Linked DNA regions of Caenorhabditis elegans. The protein of the gene in region 1 interacts with the protein of each later gene in a pairwise test. Each region holds a gene or a part of one and is shown on either strand. Other genes may lie near its edges.

Evidence for each region. Proteins that work in one complex are often made in the same cells at the same time.
Region 2: the proteins of C16B8.3 (region 1) and uso-1 interact in a two-hybrid assay, tested with the Caenorhabditis elegans proteins (2 studies listed by BioGRID).

The regions. Positions count from the first base shown.
Region 1 is NC_003284.9:3,967,617-3,970,433, reverse strand, and holds C16B8.3 (Annexin A7), read left to right. Parts: upstream 1-1,799; coding exon 1,800-2,294; downstream 2,295-2,817.
Region 2 is NC_003282.8:13,451,738-13,456,645, forward strand, and holds the start of uso-1 (Uso1_p115_head domain-containing protein), read right to left. Parts: upstream 3,062-4,908; coding exon 2,960-3,061; intron 2,045-2,959; coding exon 1,949-2,044; intron 1,763-1,948; coding exon 1,607-1,762; intron 1,544-1,606; coding exon 1,299-1,543; intron 45-1,298; coding exon 1-44. Other genes in the region: Y38H8A.7 (uncharacterized protein), read left to right, coding at 3,769-3,858, 3,906-3,989, 4,059-4,152, 4,197-4,296, 4,347-4,398.

The DNA.
Region 1 (2,817 bases):
GTATTGATTTTTTATTCAGATTCGCAAATATCAACTAAATTTTTATAATTCCAAACAATCATAAAAACACTTAACAAAATACATCAAAAAATTAAGCGGGCCGAACCGGGGATCGATCCCGGGACCTCTCGCACCCTAAGCGAGAATCATACCACTAGACCATCCGGCCACGTTTCGAGCTGATATGTATTGTAGTTTTCCTGAAATAACCATATGCATAATACATCAAAAGCATATAACCATTCGCTACAAGGAAAAAAGTAAGTGGGCCGGACCGGGGATCGATCCCGGGACCTCTCGCACCCTAAGCGAGAATCATACCACTAGACCATCCGGCCACGTCTCGTCGTGAACGCCTCTTCCTACACATGCACGCTCTCGTGAATAGCGCTCTGCGTGTGGTCGACTAGTCACAAACCAATAAACAAGTCTATCTGCGTCTCTACTAAACAAGAAAACTCTGAACGCAGTAAGCATTGACCTTGAAAATGCAGAGTATGACTTTTTCGAAAGTTTTGGTTAGGAATAGGATTTCTAACAATCAAAATTGCTAATCGTGAGAAATTGTTTTAATATAATTCAAATTACTTTTCATAATTATTATAATTTTCACAAATTGTTAAACTCGTAGAAGATGATGTAAATATGAATGTATTCCGCGATCAAATACATTAATAATACATAAAAAAATATTCAAAGCCTTTTCTTACAATTCCCCATAATTTTACTGAATGTGTCTCACGATTCGATCAAAATACAAGTTTTCAAAGTTACATGCTGAAAATGCTTAAAAGAGTAAAAGGAATGGGCCGAACCGGGGATTGAACCCGGGACCTCTCGCACCCAAAGCGAGAATCATACCACTAGACCATTCGGCCACATGTTTCCAATGTCAAAATCATGTGAAGACACTAGGTGGTCAGAGAACTGATCCGCAAACATGTTCGGAATAGAACAGGTGCGAAATGCATAGGCGCAGAAAATCTTAGCTAGGAAGTGTATTGATCGGCCTTTCTGGTTTGCAAAACGGACTGAAATAGTTATTAAAATTACACGGATTCAAGAACTAATACACAATAAAATTCATTGAAGTTGAAAAACAAAATTAAATCGTAATTGAGTTTCAAAAGTCTGTTAAAATTGTAAAAGAAACTTACAGACCCAATAGGGTTGAAAGTTGTCCGGATGGCTCAGTCTGGATGGTTGTCGCGGTCAAACTTAAGGTCAGCATTTCTTACCTCCAGACTACAGCCAGTCTTTCCTGAAAAGTCGAGCGAAGCTTGGATTTAACTTACAACAAGACCGACGGAGAGCAGACTGGCTTAATTCAAGAAAAAGTTTTGAATTTTAAAATATTGCCCTGATCTTTTCCATTCTTCCTGATAATTTTTTTGACGTTTGTATTTGATTGGCATTCCAGTTTGACATTTCGATATTATTCCTATTATAAATTCAAATGAATGTAATCTTCCTTCCCATTGAATCATCCAGAAGGTCATGTCCATGATCTATCCTCATGACTCATGGATTGCAAAGAAAGTTTCAAAATATACACTGAAAACGCCCTCGTTTCTTTTTTGTTCATTCGTTTCCATATACGTCATTGTTTGCTCTTCTCTATGGAAAAACGAGAAACTTCTTCTGACAATGCAAACTGATAACCGTATCACATTGTGAAACCTTCTCGTTTTTGAGGCAATAGGCGGATCGCAAACTAACAACTCACAATCGATCGTTTTTCAACCTTTCTGTTTGATTTTTTTCCCTTTTAAACCCCTCAACTTACACTTTTTCTTCAGATGTACGGCCGTCGCACGTGCAGTTCTTCCTCCTCAAGTTCTTCCTCTAGTGACGGTTCTTATCGTTCCCCAGTTGGCTTCGGTGTTACTCCAATTATGCCTCTTCCATATGGAGCCCCTCCACCACCAGTTGGCGCCGGAGTTGGATATGCTCCACCGCCACCAAGACCTTACGGAGCCACATATGCACCCCCACCACCTATGGGAATCGGTGCTGGAGTGAATCCTAGTGGATATGTCCAACAAGCCCCACCACTCCCAACCCAAGGATACTCGGCGTACAACCAACAACCACCTCCACTTCCACAGCAACCCTATCAAACTAACATGTATCCAAGCAACCCAGGATACTCAAGCACACCAGGCTATCCACAACAGCAGCCATATCAAATTGGAACCGGAGCCACGCCAGCCGGTATGTACCCACCACCACCAACAGGGCAATATCCTCCACCTCCACCCGGACAGTATCCAGGATATCCAAGACCATATTGAGTTAATATGTAAGCTTTTGTATACCTTTTGTACTACTAATCAATTTAATATACCATGTTTTTTCTTGCTGTTTGAATTGCCAAATAAATGTTAAAACTGTTCAATGTTCTTTTCAAAAATTTTAAGAAATACTCCAACAACTATTGGTTGGTTTGAGTGTCAGTGGCACGTGGAAATGTTTGAAAATTACCTTTAGAATAATTTTACTTGATTTGTCTATTTATGCATTCAACATTTATTGTTAACTTTCATAAATCCTATTGTTCCAATAGATGCAATATTGGACACATAATCAACTTGTCTAAATTAGTTCTGATTGTGGTTTGATATAACAGTTCGATACTATAGGTCTAGGAAATATTCGATTCGATGTCACAATATTAAACATAAATCTTCAAGTGATTTCTGTGAAAATCAAATGAATTCTATGATCTCCAGTAAGTCGGACGCTAATTCAACGAGTATTATTTGATTATTACTGGAACCCATCAAAGCAACTCTGGAACCCATTAAGAGTAAAACA
Region 2 (4,908 bases), on another chromosome or scaffold:
TTCCACGATGACGAAGCAGGTTTGAAATCAGCTGAATTGCAGTTCTGAAATAGTAAAATACAGATTTTTGAAATAATTTATAGAAGGATTCGGGGGGTTTTTGCTCGTAAAGACTCAAAAATGAGCTCAAATGGACGAATTTCGTAATAGAACTGCTCAAGAAATTTTCAAAATTTTGTATTTTTTATGCCGGTTCAAAATTTCGAAATATTATATAATTACACTGATTTTAGCTAAATGCTCGAACTTCGGCCATTTTTCCGTGTTCCAGCTGTCCGAAATTGACTTTTTTGGAATTGTCATCCTTTTTTTGCATATTTTGGTAGTTTATATCATTTAATTTCGTTTATTAAAGTACATTTAAAGCCTATAAGTAGCCAAAAATCATAAAAAACGGTTACCTATCGTCTTTAAATGTACTTTAACAAACGAAATAATATGAGATAAAGTACCAAAATATTCAATAAAGGACGAGAATTCCAAAAAAGTCAACTTCGAACCGCTGCGACACGGAGAAAAGGCCAAAATTCGAGATTTTAGCTAAAATCAGTGTATTTTTTCGAAATTTTGAACCGCCATAAAAAGTTTTTCAAACATTTTCGAGCAGTTTCAATACGAAGTTCGATTATTTGAGCCCATTTTTGGGGGTATACGTTCAAAATCGTCCGAAATCTTCCTTAAAGGAGGATTCGGGGGAATTTTTGCTCGTAAAAATTAAAAATGCGCCAAAATACACTAATTTTGAAGATATAATTCTCAAAATTTCTGAAAAACGGGCTAATTTCAGTTAAAATCTCCAATTTTATCAATTTTTCCGCGTTAGGACTGCTGCAATGCAGTTTTTATCGAATTTTCATATTTTATTTGATCTCACGTTATTTCGTTATTAAAAGCAAACACCAAAGATAATAAAAAATCGGATACCAAACCAAAAAAAAAATGCAATAAAGACTGTATTTATACTGTTGTAACGCAAAAAAAGGAGCAAAATTGGGGATTTTGCCTAACATCAGGTGTTTTTAATTTCGAAGATTGTCTCGCAACAGCCGGAAATCGATTTAATTCAATTATAATCATATTTTGCCGTTTTTTGAGGAATTTTCAGTCGATAGGCCCCTTATTCAGTGCCTTTGGCCTGAAAATGTATCTCAATCGGAGAAAATACGGATAAATTAAAAAGAAAATTAATTTGCGGTTGTTGTGACACCGATAAGTTGACGAAATTGGAGATTTTAGCTGAAATTAGTGAATTTTTTAAAGCATCTTGATTTTTTTCTCGTTAATTTCGGAATAAAAACCTTCGAACTCCAATATCGAATTGTTCAACGGCGCATAAAACTGAAGAAATGAAGCCTTTTCGTTTAATCATCACTTCGGCTAATCGTTCTCCTAATTCATCGGATTCTGAAGAATCGTCGTCTGTTGACAAAACGATTGCCATCGTGTCGAGCACAATTGTCATGGCTTCGGTGTTCATGCGATCTGTTTCAAGCACGTCAATGAATGCATTCATTCCCATTGTTCCGACGGCTAATCGATATTTCTGAAATTACACGTTTAATTTTAATTGTTTAATTTTAATAGTTCAAATGATTTTTTCTCTCACCTTTGCGACACCTTTCAGCCCTCTCAACGCATCTCGACGGTCTTCTGGTGCCGTACAAGTTTCTGCTCGTTCCACAAGTGTTTCTACATATTCAGCTCCATTATCCTCGTCTTCATCTTGCTGTCCGCCGCCAAAAAAGTTCCGAAACAGCGACATCTGCAAAGCTACACGTGGCAGTGAGCGGAAAATGGGATTGTCGTGTTGTTGAGCGAATATAAATGATAATTAAATGCATTTTTTAATTTAATTTATTTATTTCTAAATATTTTTCTTTATTTTCTGAATTTTAACATAAAATAAATGAAAAAAAACGGGAAAAAAAGAAGAGAAAAGTGGAAAAACCTGTCGTGGAATTGGAGGATGCGTTCTCAATGGAGCGCGCTTGCTGACTCTTTTCGGACTTCGTTTTTTCGCTTGCAGACGTTGACGGAAATTGCTCTGAAAAAAAGATCTGCTCAAAAAGTGAATAAAACAAATATTTCAATTGTTTTAATAACAAAATTTGCATATTCAACTGAATAATAATTATACTGAATTCAAGAATTTCAAAAAAATTGGAGAAAGTTTGGGAAACAGATGGAAATTTTCAATAAAATCGTCGAGAAAACATTTTCTGTCAAAATCCGGATTAAATCCAGAAAGAAGAGTACCAGCTGCCCACGAAAATTTCGGGTTTTCCCCCAAAAGAACAGTCTTGAGTCCTGACACGATCGAAACTTTTCAGCTAAATACCGTACACGTGGCTCAAGCCAGTGGTCACGGTGTTTTATTTTATACTCATACCCAACATTTTGCGATTTTTGCGCCAAAAATACGGTTCCTGGTCTCGACACGACTTTTTTTTTGTTATATTCAAACCAGGGCGCGCCTTTAAAGAGTACTGTAATTTCGAACTTTCGTTGTTGCAGGGTTTTCATCGTTTTTTCATAGTTCTTCGTTAAAAAAGGCTGTTTTTATTTTGTAAAAAACTGAAGTAAAACAATTAAAACACATAAATTTTAAGAAAAACAATGAAAAGTCGAATAAAATGCCGCAGCGACAAAAGTTTAGAATTACAGTACTCTTTAAAGGAGAGCACCCGTTTCCATGCAACGAAAAATTGTCGTTTTGAGACCAAGAACTACCGTATTTTTCGCGCAAAACACATAAAAATTGCAAAATTTCCCGTCTGGCTAATATCTTTAATAAATATAAAGCATAGATTTTTTATAAATTGACAGGCTATTTTCAAATATTAAATTAAAAAAAAACAAAAATCAGCGCTAATATGCTCAATTCAAAATTTTTTAAATTGAAAAACATTGGTTAAAAGTAGAAATAACAATAAATCAATATATTTTGCAACAACTTTACCTGAGGCAAATTGAAAAACGCATTGGAAATTGTCGTGTCACTGGAAAACGATCTAACTGAAAGAGTTGATCCGGTAATTGAAGACGTTGAATAAGCGAACATTTCGATTGAATAAAACTATCGGCTCAGAGAGTGTTAGAGTGCGTAAAAGTGTAATGTAGGAAGAGGGCACATTGAGTGAGTTGATCGGGAGAGAAAAGTGAAGAGAAAACGGATAGAATAACAGAATACTGTTACTTCAAAATGTTTTGATTACGGGTAATGTATACATTTCGATATATATTAGCTTTCAGGCAAATCAACAAATTACTGGAATTGAAATTTCTGGCAAACTTTATTTTATTTTATTTCAATGTGTTTCAATGTTCAAAAAAAGAAAAATTTCCGAATATACTTCAAATATAATTCAAATAAATGCCCAAGTTAGAGTACTCAGATAAATCGAACCACGCAGGCACCGCTCCAAACCACGCAGGTGACTGCCCACCACGCAGTCAACGCGTCAAGACCACGCAGGCAACCAAAAGCACGCAGGTGACGCCTAGGAACCACGCAGGCGACTTGACGGTGGGCAGCTATTGGCAGTGGCTGCAAAACCACGCAGGTGACGCCTACATACCATGCAGGCAGCCAACGTTCAGCCACGCGCGGGATTCCTAGGCCAATGGCTGCGTACTCCTCTTGGACAACTTTTTCTTCTATTTTTTTTTCCTAATTTAATGGAATTTTCCGTTTTTTTTCTTGCAAAAAGCACTTTTATATTAATTTTCAATTTCTTCATGAAACTCAATAATTGTTTTCAGGTAAATATGTCAACCCCGGCCCGAAAAACCCCAAAAGGAGGCCGAAAGCGGCGTGGCAATGGACTGGAGGCGCCGCATTCGATTGGTCGCTTCAACGTAAGATAAACTTTATTTTTAAAAAATATATAGCAACAAAATTTCAGAAAAAACCTTCGGAATCGTTCGTTCGAACTATGGACTGGGATTTCAAAGAGCTTAGGAAAATCGCGGAAAATTCCAAGTCAAAGGTGAACAGAAGTTTGGCAGCTGCACAAATTCTCCAAATCCAGATGTAGTTAAAATAGTTCACTTTTCAGACAATTCCTCCAGAGCTCCTCCACACCTTCAGTGTCCACCCAAATTCGGTGAATCATCAGATTCTTCAAGGAAGACTTCTCAATTGTCCTATCAGTAAGCTATTCTTGTCCAATTTTTTTTTAAACAAAAATTTTCAGGCGTTCTTCACAATATTCTACATGTTGTAGCCGGATTCGAAGGACAGTTCCCGAGTGCGGATTTTGGCGATGTTTTCTCCCGACAGGTGGATCAAAAATGGTAAACACCCTTCTATCAATTTGTATTTCCAAAAATCAATAATATTGCAGCTTGAACGCACGGAAAAAGATGAGCCAGGAAAAGGACACACCATCACACTGATCACTGGGACGAAAACAACTGCCTAATGGACTTAATTTTGTTTCCCACCTTTTTTTGTTGTTATTTTTGAGATTTTCGTACTTTGCGTTTTAGATGGTTAAACGGTAGGAAGGGGAAGGAGCGGGCTGCGAACTGCCATTGCTGCAAGACCACGCAGGTGTCGCCTCCAAACCACGCAGGCAACGCGTTGAAACCACGCAGGGACTGGCATTCTTGAGCGTGGTTTGTACGCGTTGCCTGCGTGGTTTGGAGCGGTGCCTGCGTGGTTCGGTTTATCTGAGTAGTAAATTTTAAGGTCTTTCAGCATATACCAATAATATTCCAGTAGGTACAAGAAGCTTCACGTAGTTACAGAAATAGTACATTTTCAGCCCTACCTTTTAGTGCGTATTTTATTATTTAATGAAAACTACCATTTATAGGCAAAAATAGATGAATTTTCCAAACTTTGAAAATTCATAAATCTTTTGAAAGTAACTTTTTTTGAAATGTCTTTCAGAAACTTTGTAG